Linked DNA regions of Caenorhabditis elegans. The protein of the gene in region 1 interacts with the protein of each later gene in a biochemical or structural test. Each region holds a gene or a part of one and is shown on either strand. Other genes may lie near its edges.

Region 1 (8,352 bases):
TGAATATACCTGTAATGTGCAATTCTACAGAGCTGGGCGAGCCCGGTGCACATGACGAAAAAGTTCACACTACTCAAATAGTAGTTGATTGGGGTGATGACAAGGCAATATCTCGTCCAGATGGCTCCAGTGGCGAAGAGAGCAGAGTTCTGAAAAATTTAGATTTTAATGCATATTATATTGCTTTTTTCGGTAGTTTTCGAGAAGAAAACACTAGAATTTAGATTAGTTAGAAATTTATCTCATTTTCATGTATCCACCTCTACGAGTTTCAAGGAGGACGCGTTTATGCGGAATGGTCTCGCCACGCGCGCCTTTGAGGTTACTGTAGAGATTATCTTCATTTTGAAAAGAAAAACAAACGAGAAGAAAACAACGAGAAAAACCTCTAAAAATATGTAATCAATACATCTACAGTAACCTTAAAGGCACACACACACACCAAATTATCACTCCAGTTTTCGCTGCGGGACCAGAAAACAAATTTCACAAATCCCTACCTGATAAAGAGAAAGCTTATCAGCAGGTCTGGCCAAATCAGCGAGTCCAGCGCCGATAAGAGTCCATTTGATGGTTGGGGCCCAGAAAAATACAGTTTTCGGACCGGCCGCATGATTCCAAGCCGGCTTGGCGAATGCTGGAAGCACCGGATAGACAAATTTATCTCCGGCTTTGCACAGAGCCTGGTAGAGGAGACGATGTGGGCCCATTGAGGTGTATTTGTGGGGCTGAAAATGAAGAAATTAAATTTGATTTCGAAATCTGCGAAGAGAAGAAAAAAGAAGAAATGAGAAAATTGTTAAGAAGAAAAAATATCAAAGAGATCAGAAGTTAACCAATGTTCAGAGAACATAATAGAGTCATCGATGTCTGATTTTTTTTGGTAAAAAATTTTTATTTTTGGTAAGAATATTTTTAAAAAATGCTAGTTTTTCAATTATAGCGACAGGTTCGCACATTTTTTTCGAAAAAAGCGAAAAATATTTTTTTGCAAAAAAAAACCAAAGGTGCGCCTTTAAAGAGTACTGTAAATTCAGATTTTCGTTGTTGAGAAATTTTCATAGATTTTTCTAATTTTTTTCGATTAAAAAACTAAAATATAACAATAAAAGCACATGAAAAAAAGAACATTCCTCAACAACAAAAGTTTGAAATTACAGTACCCTTTAAAGGCGCGCACCTTTTCACATTAAACAAAAATTGTCGTGTCGAGACCTGGTACAGTACTTCTGGCACGAAAATCGAAAAATTTCGCATCTTCTAAGAAACCATATTTGTAAAGTTTCCAAAAAAAAAATCTTGCCACTAATTTCTTCTAAATTTTCGTCTCTCCCCATATTCTTATCAATTCAATCTTTTATCAATCAATCTGTAGAAAATAATCAAAAAGAACTTCAACTTTAAGAAAAATATATTCCATCCTCGACGAAACGCTCATAAAATTCATTTATTTCACTGAAAATTTTGATAGCTTGGAGACGTATAGTAATTAAATGGAAAGAATTAGAAAAGGAAAAAAGAAGTAGAGCTTACATACAAACTTTTAAGAGGAAATGAGGGAGAGAGAGCGGGATTTTCACAACATGTTGTTCTGATGGATTGAGTGGAAAATCACAGGAATTTCAGATATTCACACAATTGGTGAGAGACTGAATGAAAAGGAGAGAAAATAGAGAAAGAGAGGAGAAAGAGAAAAAGCAGGCGACAATATACAGTAAATGATGGTAGTAATAAGAGACAATTGCAATATATATGTAAAGTAAAATTATGGTTCTGGAAGAGAGAAAGGAGACTAGAAAAGTGCCTAACGACATTCGAAAAGAGGAGGAAACATAAAAAAGATTGGTATTCAAACGATTTAGTTAAAACATTCAAAGCTCATTCAAAGAAACATCATCAAAAATTAACAGCATCCAGATCCACCGCCCAATCCTCCCGTCGCATTTCCACCTGGAGAATTTGGTGAGCTTGGAGAGTGCTGTGGTCCCAACTTGATTCCGTTTGCCTCATTGTTAATGTCGAACACGCCTTCTTGAATCTTACGGTAGATCTCTTTGGCAGTGTCGATGAACGCCTCTTCCACGTTGGCAGCCGTCTTGGCAGATGTCTCCATGAATACGAGTCCGTGCTCTCGTGCGAATGCTTCTCCCTCTTCACGTTTCACTTCGCGACGGGCTTCCAGGTCACTGAAAACATTTATTTTATTTTTTTGAATAAAAATGTGTTTATTTGGAAAACCAAATTTCTATAAATTGTTCGATTTTGTAGAGAAATTTTTGAACAATCGATCCTTGAATTTTGCAAAAGGCAACTTGACACTTCACACAGAAAGAGATGCGGAGCGTGAATTCGCAACCCAGTGGCACTGTTTTTTCTCCTTTTTTTCACAGCTTTTAATCAAAAAGGTTTCGATTTTACTATTTTTTTAGTTTTGTTCTTTTTTTTCGAATGAGAATGCAGTGGAAAACCGGCGAAAATTTTTATTTTCAAAATTCAAGGATCGATCGTTGAATTTCAACAGTAGTTAACCTATTTTTCGATATATTAAAAACCAATAATCTATATTTTAAAAAAATGTTACCTCTTATTTCCAATCAACATAATAACCATATTGGAATTACTGTGCTGCCTGGCATCCTCAAGCCAAGATGTCAAATGATTGAATGTGTCGCGTCGTGTAATGTCGTAGACGAGAAGAGCTCCGGCGGCTCCACGATAATAGGAACGAGTGATGGAGCGGAATGATTCTTGTCCGGCTGTGTCCCAAATTTGAAGTTTGATCTGCTTTCCGTCAATTGTCACCATACGGGCTCCGAATTCGACGCCTGGAAAATAATTATTTTGAAAAAAAAACTTGAATAAAATTTAAAAATCGCACCAATCGTCAAATCATGAACTGGCTGGAAACGTTTGTCGGTAAACTGAAGGAGCAAGCAGGATTTTCCTACTCCAGTATCCCCGATGATAATGTACTTGAAAAGGTAGGCATATGACATTCTTCTGGAAGTTGATTAATTGATTAATCGATTATTGATTGATCGGAAAATGCTCAAAAAAGTGAAAAAAGAGAGAGAAAGGTGGTAGAAGTAATAGAAGAAGAGAACACACACACACTGAAAAAACATAAACTTTGGAAAATTGATGACGTGGTGTGGACGAGGCAGACCAATCAATACTTCCTCATGACTGAGGAGCGTAGTGAAGGAAGTTACGAAATGAGGTCGAATCATATGATGAAGATGGATAAGAAATAGGGAAAAGTTCGGCCAGCATGTTAGAAAACATTTTTGAAGCAAATAAAATTGGCGAAAATAGCAGAAAAGAGCAAAATTTTTGAGCAAAAAAAGTTAGTTAAAGTCAATATAACCTCTTCCAAACATATATATTCCAAGGAACCCATGCCTTTTTTTCACATTTTTTCACTCTCTCTCTCTTGCCACCGCCACCACCAACACAGCCAAAAAATCGAAGAGAGTGAGCGCGTGGTGAGTGTCTCGTGAGCGTGGTTGTGAGCGGAGGGTTATCTCTGCGTCTATAACAAGAGAGATGAAGAGAGATAGAGAGAACCAGAGAAAGAGAGGGAAAATGGGAGCAAAGAGATGTGTGACTATTTATTTCGGATGACGTGCTTCTTCGTTTTGCACACATACACACACAGAAGCATATCCTGAAAACGAATGGATCGAGTCGTTTTTTTTCGAGAAAAGAATAACACAAGTGATGAACGGCGGGTCTGGGTTTTATTTGGGAGCAGACTTTTTTTGCTGCCAAAAAATGTAAATTATTTTAATGAAACTACTGTACTTACTATTGTGGTTATTTCAAGGTGGAGTAGAGCCACAATTTTTTAGTTTAAATGACCGAATATAACTGCTTGAAAATTTAAAAAAAAATGTTAATGTTTTTTTTTTTCAATTTTGCCAAAATAAAATAAATGAGCAATAGGCTTCTTGGAGATATCTTTTTTTGCAAATTCAATTTTTTTTCGGATTTTCTTTTTCATGTTCCTTTAAAGGCACATTACATTAATTTCCATGGGTCTCGCCCAGATATGGACAAAAATTTTTTTCAGATTCTAAGACACATAGATCAGAAAAAAAAGAAATAAAGTAGTCTGCTGGCAGGAAACACGAATAAGAAGGTGCAATTGGAATTCATTTCAGAAGATGTGCGCTCGTGAGATCTCATATGTTTCTTCTTCTTTTTCTTCTTCTTCTTCCATGTCAAATGTCGGGGGCGCGGCTCTCTAGAATCGGGAATAAGAGAAAGCTGAGCGAAAAAGAGAGGGACTCCTTTTCCCTTTCGTGCTGTTTAATTGGGTCGAGCCCCTCGTAGCCATGCACAAAACCACACACACACATATATATATAGCCAAACAGAATTGGCAAAAGAGAGTGTGCGACAGATGAAAATTTCAAAAATTGATTTCCGGTCATGGGCTTTTGGAGAAATTATTTCAATTAGAAAAAAAAAATCTAAAGTACGATCACTTCATTGCAACTGCCTATGAAACAGAAGTGAATTACGAAGTTTATAATGAAACTGACGCCTCTCAACTAATGGCTTTTCTGTTATCTACATCGGGCAAACGAAAGTGTATGCGTTATCCTTTCGCCCTTTAATTGATCGCATAACTAACGATGTTCAAATTATTGTAGTCTCAATTGAGAGGGAAGTTCCAATTCACTGGAATGATCGAATAAATTTGTGGAAATTCATTTCAGAAGAGCTAGTAGACCTAGCATACATCGTAATAATTTAGGACCTACTATTATATCAATAATTTTTTTTTTAACTTTAAAAGTAAAAATCGGTAAAAAGTTTTAAAAACTTCAAATTATATGCTTAAAATCTAGGCCACTGGAATTAAAATAGCAGATTCTACAAAAGTCGTAATTTTACTCGAATTTTACTCAAATTTTCTTAACAAGAGAAGTGAATGTGAAAAAAAAGCTGGTGCATGGCCATATTAATAAACTTAGCCCAAAAGATTCAACTCTGCAATAGAGAGCTTCTCTTCCTTATTGGACTATCATCATACCCGTATAGCGGAGGCGCAGACATTGTGCTTATGTGAAGTCACGAGAATCACGGGTAGAGAAGACGACGACGACGACGACGCTGAATTCACGTGAATAGGGGGTTAGTGAGATTGAAACGAGAGAGAGAGACGTAGAAGACGTCAACTAGAGAGAGAGAGAGAAGATAGAAGCTGAAAGAGAGGCTTTGTTAGACGATGTTGGAGAAGACTGAATGGCTATAGAGTTCTACTCGAGTCACCAATTACGTGGAGCTGGAGAAGAAAAAAAAGAGAGAAAACAGAAAAGAAGAAAGACATCTTCAACGAAAACACACTCGGATCCTTCATTTAGCCGGACCTCGGGGCAAACAGATTTTGCATAATGAGCAAGGCGAAAGCTTGACGAATTTTTCGGTTAAGAAGAAGAAGAAGACGAAGAGGAAAGAATGCGGGAATATAGTCTCTTCAGGTGTACGAATAATCCTCCACTTCTGCTCTCTGAGAGCAACAATTGCGAATGAGCAGCACTATTGACGACACAACGTTGAGAAGAGACGGAGAGCATTTTTGCACTTTGACGAATACTAATTTGGAAAAAATGATATCACTCTTTTTCAATGTTGGGAAATTTTACATCAAGGGTGTCGGTTTTTGAATTTCCACTAAAAATCAAAAAAATTTTTTTAAATTTTGGCTATTTTTATTATTTTTTGAAAAGAAAATTAAAAATTGTTTTCGTAAATATATTTTTTCATCAACATCAAAAACAAAAATTGGTGAATTAAAAAACTTATTTCTAAGAAAAGTTTAGTTTTTCGATTTTAGCAAAAAATTGAAAACCTGACACCCTCGATTTTCAATACAGGTGGTTACTCCTTCGAGGAATCTTACGATATTTGATGAAAAGTAGGGTTTCCAGTCTCGAAACGATCGATCTCGCAGCTACCGTACTTTCAAAAATCACAAAATACTAACATTTGACTAGGAGCTCCTAGGGATGCAAGATAAATTGATGAAATCAAAAAAGAGAAACATCACTGTAAACGTTTTCAAAATCACAAGGAAAAGCAATTAGAAATTTCTAGAGCATCAAAAACTATGATAAGGATCTTTTGATAACAATAGTGACCCCCGCAAATGGGGGAAATTCAACGAAATTCGTTGAAATTTAAAGAGCAAGAGGTAAATACTTGGGTATAACTTGGGCCACATATTAAAATGTTAATTTTTTTAGTTAAATAAAATTTTCCAAGCCAAAAAAAAAAAAAAAATGAAGAAATAAAACAATTAATTATATTTAAAATTTAATTTTAAAATGTAGAGTTAAAATACACAAGTAAATATTTTCCAAACAAGAAAATATAAAATATATCAGTGTAATTTTAAAAAACACTTGAAAAAAAAAACCAAAATATAATCAATATTTTTTAAAAACAAGTTCATTCACAAACTCAACCAAACACACAACAAAACAGACAATAACAAAAAAAATAAATAGTGTGATGGTGGTGATCATGAAGAAAACAGGTGAAAGTGTATAGGTTTAAAGAATTAGAGTTTCAATTTAAAGAAAAAATGAATATATAAATAAAAAGTAAGAATCTAGGCCTTCGACGAGTTGTTCGTTTTCAGATTGTGGTCATCCTTCAGCTTGTTCAGCTTATCACGAGTAGCATCTGTAAAATAAAAATTGACATTTAATAATTTGATTAAAAACTCTAAAATTAGTACCGTGTTGAGTGGAGAGATCCATCAGCTTCTGCAGCTGCTTCTTCATAATAAGCTCAGTTTTCTCCAGCGGGGTCTCGGTTTTCGTCTTCAAAACTGTCGATTGCATTGTGTTAAGTGACTTGGTGATTTGATCGAGATCGAAGTCCGCACATTTCATTTGGGAATCCACGTTGAGCATCATTTGAGCGCTGGAATTTTTTTTTGAAATTATTATTTTGATTTTTAAGGGGAGTAAGGTCCAGGGCTGTCGCTTTTTGCTTTTTTTCTTTCGTCTTCAAGACTGTCGATTGCATTGTGTTAAGTATTTTCGGAACAAAAAACAAAAAAAATGCTTTCAAAAAGTTTTAGTTATTATGATTTTAAAAAAAACCTGTGGATTTTTTTGCTTAAATATTCAAAAACTCTCAACAAGAAAAAAATCTGATAGTTTTATGGCAGGATTTTGCGAAATTTTGTCAACTTTTTCTTTGTCGCAGCGGCTGAAATATAGTTTTTATCGAATTATCCCGATTTATTGCATATTTTGATTATTTATCTGGCGTTAATTCGTTAATTTAGTCATATTTTAAGTCGATAGCTATTCAAAAATTACGAAAATTGGATGCAAATCGAGCCAAATCAACGGAACAGCGTGAGATAATCAACCAAAGCATGCCAAATAGGGCAATATATGAAAAAAAATCAATTTCCATCGGCTTTTACAAAGAAAAAGTTGGGAAAACTGAAGTTTTTAGCTAAATTTAATATATTTCTTAAAAATTTAATCCATTAAAAATCAATAACTTTGACGTACATTTGCACTCTCTGAACATCATGTCTCGACGCAAATCTGCTATCAAGTGGGAATTTGTAATCAAGAGTATGCCATTCTGGAAGGCTCAGCTTGTTCTCTAGCTCAACAACATTTTGCTCAATATCGTTCAAGACAGAAGTCATGGAGGCGACGTTGAAATGCAGTTTCTTGCAGCTTCCACTCAAATCATCCATCTCATTGTACAATCCTAAAACTTTTGGCTCGAGTGTAATGAGCTCACGGTCATAAGCATTAAGCTCGAGCATTTTATTATGGAATACTCGTTCCTGCTTCGCAATTTCCGAATGATAACTATTGACAACTTCTTGAAGGGCGGTGAAGAAGGCTTTTGTATCATTTCCACCGAGTCCTGCTTTGATTTCTTCTTCAGAAAGTGTGTCGCTTCCACTTGCACCAATTTTCAGGCCTGCAGATGTAGTTGCAGCTCCTTTAAGTCCTGATGTTGTCCATCTGAAATTAAGAGTTTTTTTTATATTTTTAAAAAGTAAACCAAAATGTACCCAGTTCCCTTAGCCAATGGTGTTGAAGTGAGCCCTAGGCCAAGTCCAAGAGTTGGAGTAGCTTCTGCTGGCTTTGGAAGAGTGGAAGTAGTGCTGGTTGTGGTTGGAAGAGATGGAGTTGCTGACACTGTAGATGGAGTTTGTCCCAATGTAGCGGCAGTAGCAGGTGTTGTTGTAGTTGCTGCTCCAAACAATCCACCGGTCGGACCTACAGTTGCTGGTGCAGTTGTAGTCGCAGCCCCGAACAGGCCACCAGTCGGAGCTGCTGCGGCGGGAGCAGTTGTGGT
Region 2 (7,689 bases), on another chromosome or scaffold:
TCATATCTCGGCTCAAAGAGCTCCAATCTTTCTGAAATGAAGCATACAGAGGTGGGGCAAGCTTCTTGAAGAGAGAGCAAAAAACCGCATCAAAATCCATCCACCCACCGTCAAGTTACACGCGCGTTTTCAGAGTGAACGAAAAACAGGGCATAAAAAAATTTAGACGCCCGCACCCGGACTCGAACTTTTTTCTAATTTGCAAGCTTAATATCTCGGCTCCTGTAAATCGAAATCGGCTGAAAATTCACAAGAAAATTTATTTCGCTACGATCCTCCTGTCATTAAATTTTCGTGAGCTTAGGGAGAAAACTGACAAAACGCCAAACTTTCAAATTTTAAAAAATAGTTGAGGGTCATTTTGAAAACACCTTAAGCTCCATAACTCGGCGAGTTTTGATGGAATCAATTTGAAATTTTACACGGAAGCTTCTTAGTGGCCTATACGTCTCTGTGTTCAATTTCGCTTTGATCGGCCAACGGGAACTCTTTGAAAAATGAAAAAAACGCTGTAATCCTAACCCTAAATAGCGTCAGTGGGGGAGCTAACGCTCCCCCACTGACGCCAAGCCTGAGCTTAAGTCAAAGCCTAAGCCTTAACCTAAGCCTCAGCCTGAGCCTAAGCTCAAAACTAAGCCGAAGCCTGTGCCTCAGCCTAAGCCTAAGCCCATAGTCCAAAATTCTAACAAAATTTTTTTTGTAATACACAAGTAGCAAAATTTTTTTAAATTTTGAATTGCCGCGTAATATATACATTTTTGGAAATCTCCTTCTGCTACAAAAACTCACCTTCCCTTCTTCATCTTTCAACTTCCTCTGCAACTCCATATTCCTCTCCGTCAACTCCTGTGTCAATTTCAACATTTTCTCCACTTGCTCCCTATACTCTGCAGCTTCAAGTTCCGCTTGTTCTCGATCTTCTTCTGCAGTCTCTCGTTCTTTTTCGGTTTCTTCAATTCGATGGCTACTACTCTCCACAAAACTTTCAACTCCTTTCAATCGATCGATTTGCTCTTCACAAAGCTTCCGCCGATCCTCTTCTAAACTCAGTTGGTCTTGAAGAATGTCAATTTTGGAAAGAAGATCCGTATTTTCTCTTGAAGCCTCTTCAAATTTAGTTGCCATTTCCAGTTGAGAAGTTCGGAGTCGTTCTACGTCATGCTCAGATTCTCGGAGTCGACGTTCAAGTTCAGCAGTACTTGTTTGAAGCTTTACTTCGTATTGCTGAAAAGAGCAAAGTAATCAAGAGCTCAAGAGCTATATGTTTGTGAAAATCACGGGGTTCTGGCCTTCCTCATTGAATTTTTTGCGCTCCATTGACAATTGCCCGCCGGACAACGCGTATACATTTAGTTTTACATTCGAGCCGCGACGCGACACGCAACGCGCCGTAAATCTACCCCAGATATGGCCGAGACAAAATGGCCTAATTCGGCAAACTCTTCCATTTCAATTTATGAGGGAAGCCAGAAATCCATGAATATTGTACCTGAATAATATGTTTATCATCCTTTGCCTGAATCAGTTGCTTTCTGAGCATATCTCCCTGTTGTTTGGACTCTGATAGGTTGGATGATAAACTCTGAAAATCATTTTTTAAAAATTAATGTAAAATATTACAGGAACACTAATTTCTGAGAATGCGTATTACACAACATATTTGACGAGCATAGTATCTCGTAGCGAAAACTACAGTAATTCTTTAAATGACTACTGTAGCGACTGTGTCGATTTACGGGCTCGATTTTTGTGTTTTCAACAAAAATATTGTATCGAATAATAAATTGTATCCGGAAATCGACCCAAGCGCAATAGTAGCCTTATTTAAAGAATTACTGTAGTTTTCGCTACGAGATATTATGCTCGTCAAATAAGTTGTGTAATACGCATTCTCAGAAATCGTCAGAATTTTTTTCAACTTTTCGGCAGTGCCTCATTTCGGTGTGATCTATGTAGATCTACAAAAAATGCGGGAGAAGAGGGGGTTCTCAACTGATTTCGCATGGCTATGAACGTGCTGACGTCACACTTTTTCGGGCAAAAAATTGCCGCATTTTTTGTAGATCAAACAGCAATGGGACAGCCTTGCACCACATGATTTTGTAGAATTGTCGGTCAATCATCATGCGTTCTCGCCTGCCTACCTAGCGCCTATTTTCTGCATTCTGGCGTAAAATCGGGTGTTTGGTATGGTATTTACACATTGAAGGTTAAGCTCAGAATAGAAAGAAGAGTAAGCTCAGGCGGCAATGTAGGCGGGAGGTAGGCGTGGGGTACGTCTAGTGGGGAAATGATTAAAAACCATTCATATCAGGGATGTGTGGCAAATTTGCCAAATTTGCCGAGCTGGGCAAATTTTGAAATTCCCCTGATTCATATGATGCTAAAATTATTAAATACCATTAAAAAACGGATTTAAAAAATTTTGGAAAATTTTAAATTTCCAGTCAAAAAGCTCTTTTTGCCTATTTTGTTTGAAAGTCGTAGTCCCACCTCAACTCGTTTCTCGGCAATCTTCATTCGATTTTCAAAATCAAAACGTTCATGCTTCAACTTTTCAATCTCGACTTTCAAGTTCTGCACGGTTTTCTCCAAATCATCCAAATTTTCCTGACTCTGTGCTTTCCTTGCAGCTTCCAATTCCTCTTTGATCACTTTCATATTACTATCTTTCTTGGAAATTTCGTCCCTTAACTTCATCATTTCTCCTTCTCTCATTGCATATTTTACAACCGCTTCGTTCTTTTCCTTATCACATTGTTCGGCTTTTTTTGTGGCCTGAAATTGTGGCCCATATTTAAATGAAAATTGCTGAAAAATTGTACATCAAAAAAACAAAAAAAATACCTGCTGAAGAGCCAAATTAAATTTCTGTGACATTTCTTTAGTTGTCACATTAAAATGTGCTTCCTGAGCCAGTCCTCTGTCCGTTGTGGTTTTGAGTTGAACTTCTAATTCTCGAATTCTTCGCACTTGAGCATCCAACTCTTTTTTGTGCTGATTTTGAACATTTCTGCAAACAAAAATGGGCTAAAGTTTAGGCTTAGGTTTAGGCTTAGGCTTAGTCTTAGGCTTAGGCTTAGGCTTAGGCTTTTGCCTATGCTCAGGCTAAGGCTTAGGTTTAGGCTTCAGCTCACGCTGAGGCTTAGGCTTAGGCTTATTCTTAGGCCTAGGCTTAGTCTTGGACTTAGACTTCTGCTTAGGCGTAGGCTTAGGCTTAGGATTAGGTTTACGCTAAGGCGTAGGCTTAGGCTTAGGCTTCGGCTTAGGCTTAGGCTTAAGCTAAGCCTTAGGCCTAGAAACATGTTTTAGACACAACCTTAAAAAAATATAATTCGAACAATTTTTGAAAGTTATTTTTTAATTGAGCTGCGAAAAAGTTATCTACAGTTTCCGCACTGCAAAATTTGAAAACTGAAAATTTTACATCAAAATTCATGCTTACGAATTTTTATTTTCGACATTTTTCGGAAAACCTACTTCAAAAGTTCCTCATTCAAATCCCGTTCTCGAATTGTTCTCAGCAGCTTTTCTCGATATTCTGCATTTTGCGACTCTAATCTGCAATTTTAAATTTTTTTTTCCACAAAAAAAACTTCCCACAAACCTCTCAAATTCTTGTTCCTGTACTGCATTACATTTCGAGTATAAGGAATTTTCCACGGCAGTCGTCGGGATGACGTCATCTTCGTTATGAATAAGGGGCGATGCTACACGAACAGGTGTTCCATATGTGGAATTTGTCTGGGAAAAAGGTGTATATATATATATAGTTATATAGTATATATAGTGTTGTATATATATAGTTATAACTTTACTATATTATTTTTTTAACAGTTCAAAAATAAAATTTAAATTTTTTTAAATTCTCGAACTTCAGTTAAAACGCCAAAATGTTGAAAAATTTAATAATAATACAAATAAAATAAAAAACTTACCGGTGTTGCTTCACACGACTCCACTACGTCTTCTTCCATTTTTTTAAAACAGAAATTTTATTTGGATTAACACTAAGTTCTGAGCATTTAGATTGAAAGTCTGAAATTAAAATTTTTTTGTGATGAGTCCTCAAACACAAAAAAAAGTTAAGAAGGTTTCTCCCCTCTGAAAATGAGCACATGCTCCTCATTTGGAGCTCCACGGAGCCCTCGATGACGTACGCCACTTTCCATGTTTCTCTGCGTCTCTCAGCTTTTACTACACTATCGATTTTCTTCCCCTTAAAAAGGGAAGGAGGAGGAAAAGCAAGAAAAGTGTGCGGAGGGGGGGGGGGCTCTTTGAGCACAATGCTTTAGGCTATAAAATAGCGCAACAGGGGGTACGCTCTGAAAATTCGAAGTGTTATGATATTAATTTTGCGTTTAAAAATGAAATTGAAAATTTGGTTTTATTTTAGACATTTCAAAAACATATCAGAGAAATTTATGATTTAGAAAAAAATAAAAAAATGGAAAAAAAAACAAAGAAAAGATCATTAATTAGATCGTTACAAAACTCCAAGTTAAAACTACAATTGAAAAAAATAATAAAATCACAACATTTTTAATTTATCCTCTGTTGAAATTCGTTTGCAGCATTTCAACAGACATATCCCAAGTAACACGAAAAATGCTCCAGAAATTGCGAAGATAACGTTTGGTGAGAGTTCTGGAGAATTGGATCTGGAAAAAAATTTAAGAGGGATTTGTTGTTTTGGATACTTGCTGGGGGAAAACCAAAAAATCAGCCGTTTTCATGAAAAAATTTGAATTTCCCGCTAAAAAATGTTTTTCAGAAAATTTGAATTTTCTGCTAAAACTTTTCTCAGAAATTTTGAATTTCCCGCCATAAAATATTTATCGGAAAATTTGAATTTCCCGCCAAAAATTTTTCTGAGAAAATTTGATTTTTCCGCCAAAAATTGTTTTTTTCAGAAAATTTCAATTCCTCGCCAAAAAAAATTCCAGCATATTTGAATTACCCGCTATAAAATATTTTTCAGAAAATTTAAATTTCCCGCTAAAACTTTTTTAATGACAATTTTAATTTCCCACCATTATATATTTTTGTGAAAGTTTAAATTTTCCGCCGAACAAATTCTCAGAATATTTGAATTTCCCCCATAAAATATTCCTCTGAAAATTTGAATTCCCCGCTAAAACTTTTTAAATGAAAATTTGAATTTCCCGGCACAAAATATTGATCATAAAATTTGTATTTCCCGCCAATCAATGTTTAATTTTTCCCCAAAAAAAAAAGGTATCTGAAAATTTAAATTTCGCGCCAACGTTAAAAAAATAGTAGCGCCGACCAAATTTTTTCGGAAAAAGGTTGAAAAATCAACAAAAAAATGCAGCTTTGGCCAAATTTCCATGATTTAAACAAACAAAAATAAAACTATTGGAAATTCAAATTTTAAATTGCAAAATTTGGTATATGTTCTCAGAAAACAGCGAGTGCCTTTAAACTGACGTTTTGCACGTGGTGCCAGTCTGTCCCATTACGGCTTGATCTACAAAAAATGCGGCAATTTTTTGCCCGAAAAAATGTGACGTCAGCACGTTCTTAACCATGCGAAATCAGTTGAGAACTCTGCGTCTTTTCTCCCGCATTTTTTGTAGATCTACGTAGATCACGCTGAAATGAGACACTCTGACACCAAAACTTCGCGCCAAAACTGTAGCTTACTCCTTTTCCTTGCCAACAGTCTTGCCCGAGGCTTTGCCATTTTCTGAAGGTTGTGTATGTTTAGGTGTGGCTGATCCCGGAGAGAACGATTTTCTGGGCTTCTTTGTGGTTGTAGGTTCACTAGAAATTGATGGCTCTTTTGGTGGTGGATCCTGCTGGACAATCGGATCTTGGCTTGAAGCCTTCTGAGTAGGGGTATTCGGAGCTTGAACCGGTGCACTTGGTGAAGTCGGCGGAGCTGAAGCCTGTTGTTGGGTAACGGGCTGGGCCTTCTGAGCTGGTGGTGCTGGAGAAGGTGTAGGTTTTGGAGGATTTTGTTGAACTGGGGGAGCCTGCTGAGGAGCTGGCTTTGGCGGAGCCTGTGTGGCCTGTTGTGAGGATGGGGCCTGTTGAACAGCCGGCATAGGAGGATTCTGTCGGACCGGGGGAGCCTGCTGAGGTGTTGGTTTTGGCGGAGCTTGCTGCACTGGTGGAGCAGGGGCTTGTTGTACTACTGGGGCCTGGGCTTGTTGAACAGCCGGCTTAGGAGGATTCTGTTGAACTGGGGGAGCCTGCTGGGGCGCTGGTTTTGGCGGAGCCGGAGCAGCTCGGGTCGGAGCTTGTTGAACAGCCGGCTTTGGTGGAGCTTGTTGGACTGGAGGAGTCTGCTGAGGAACTGGTTTTGGCGGAGCTTGTTGGACTGGAGCCGAGGCTTGTTGTACAACCGGTGCTGGATTTGGCGGCTGCTGTACTGGCTGAGCTTGGGCCTGTTGTTGCTTTGGCGGTGGAGCTTGTTGAACTACCGGAGCCTGCTGAACTATTGGCTTAGGTGGAGCTTGAACCACTGGTTGCTGTTGAACCGGTTGAGCCACTGGTTTTGGTGAAGCCTGTTGAACAGGCGGGGCCTGCTGAACTACAGGCTGAGCTTGAGCCTGTTGTGGCTGTGATGGTGGAGCTTGTTGAGCCACTGGAGCCTGAACCACAGGTTGCTGAGGTGGAGGAGTTTGTTGAACTACTGGAGGTTGTTGTGTAGGAGCCTTCTGGACTACAGGCTGAGCTTGAGCTTGCTGAACAATCGGCTTGGCCTGAGCCGGCGGTGCCTGAGCCACTGACTTTGGAGCTTGTTGAGCAGGAGCCTGCTGGACTACAGGTTTGGGAGGTTGCTGGACAGGAATTTGCCTAGCAGCTGGTGGAGCTGGAGCTTGATGTTGTTGAGCTTGGGGAGCAGGCGGATTTGGCGGAGCTTGAGCCACTAGTATTGGAGCTTGCTGAACAGTCGGCTTGGCCTGAGCCGGCGGGGCCTGAGCCACTGGCTTTTGCTGTGCTGGTTGAGCAGGTGGGGCCTGCTGAACTACAGGAATTTGCTGAGCAGCTGGTGGAGCTTGAGCTTGTTGTTTTTGAGCAGGTTGGGTTTGTTGGACGATCGGCTTGGCCTGAGCCGGTGGAGCATGAGCCTGAGCTTGCTGTTGTTGCTGAGCTGGTGAATTTGGCGGAGCCTGTTGGATTACAGGTACTTGCTGTTGACCCGCAACTGATACGAACAGCAAACCTGAAACTGAGGAAATGCTTTGAAGGTTGATAATATTATTTATTGCTTATAGTAGGCAATGTAGGCGTTGCCTGCCGCCTGCCTGTTCGAGCGTGCCTACTGAGCGAATTTGAGTTGACAAGCTTCATCGTTTTTTTTTTTTTGGTAAAATTTTTTGTGATAGCCTTGAGCAGAAAAATAGACAGAACAAAAAAAGGCACGTAGGCATGAAGGCGTACCTACATGTATACCTACGAGATTTTCAAATTTAAGGCGAAATGGTTTTTTTTGCACTTGGAAAATTTTTCCGGAAAAAAAACGGTACTAGTCCTAAATCACCCCGCCACTTTTCCTTACATTTTCTTCGATAAAAACGTAGAAAAGGAAAAGTGGCGGGGTGATTTAGGACTAGTACCAAAAAAACTCACCGAAAACTAAAAAACGTCTCATTTGATTTCCGGCAGTTCGAGAATTACGGTATGATCAGTTTCAACGAATAAACGCGATGGAAAAGT

Evidence for each region. The genes of interacting proteins can lie anywhere in the genome.
Region 2: the proteins of unc-108 (region 1) and cccp-1 form a complex in vitro, tested with the Caenorhabditis elegans proteins (one study listed by BioGRID).

The regions. Positions count from the first base shown.
Region 1 is NC_003279.8:3,819,595-3,827,946, reverse strand, and holds unc-108 (Ras-related protein Rab-2), read right to left. Parts: upstream 5,065-8,352; coding exon 5,042-5,064; intron 3,001-5,041; coding exon 2,879-3,000; intron 2,826-2,878; coding exon 2,582-2,825; intron 2,187-2,581; coding exon 1,904-2,186; downstream 1-1,903. Other genes in the region: mpc-2 (putative mitochondrial pyruvate carrier 2), read right to left, coding at 10-149, 501-710; npp-11 (Nsp1_C domain-containing protein), read right to left, coding at 6,623-6,696, 6,752-6,939, 7,545-8,015, 8,066-8,352.
Region 2 is NC_003281.10:12,469,228-12,476,916, reverse strand, and holds the start of cccp-1 (CARD domain-containing protein), read right to left. Parts: upstream 4,042-7,689; 5' UTR 3,978-4,041; coding exon 3,939-3,977; intron 3,745-3,938; coding exon 3,608-3,744; intron 3,562-3,607; coding exon 3,481-3,561; intron 3,296-3,480; exon of another isoform or gene 3,242-3,295; intron 3,014-3,241; coding exon 2,848-3,013; intron 2,779-2,847; coding exon 2,494-2,778; intron 1,583-2,493; coding exon 1,490-1,582; intron 1,225-1,489; coding exon 790-1,224; intron 1-789. Other genes in the region: Y49E10.29 (Prion-like-(Q/N-rich)-domain-bearing protein), read right to left, coding at 4,532-4,661, 5,668-7,195, 7,603-7,624.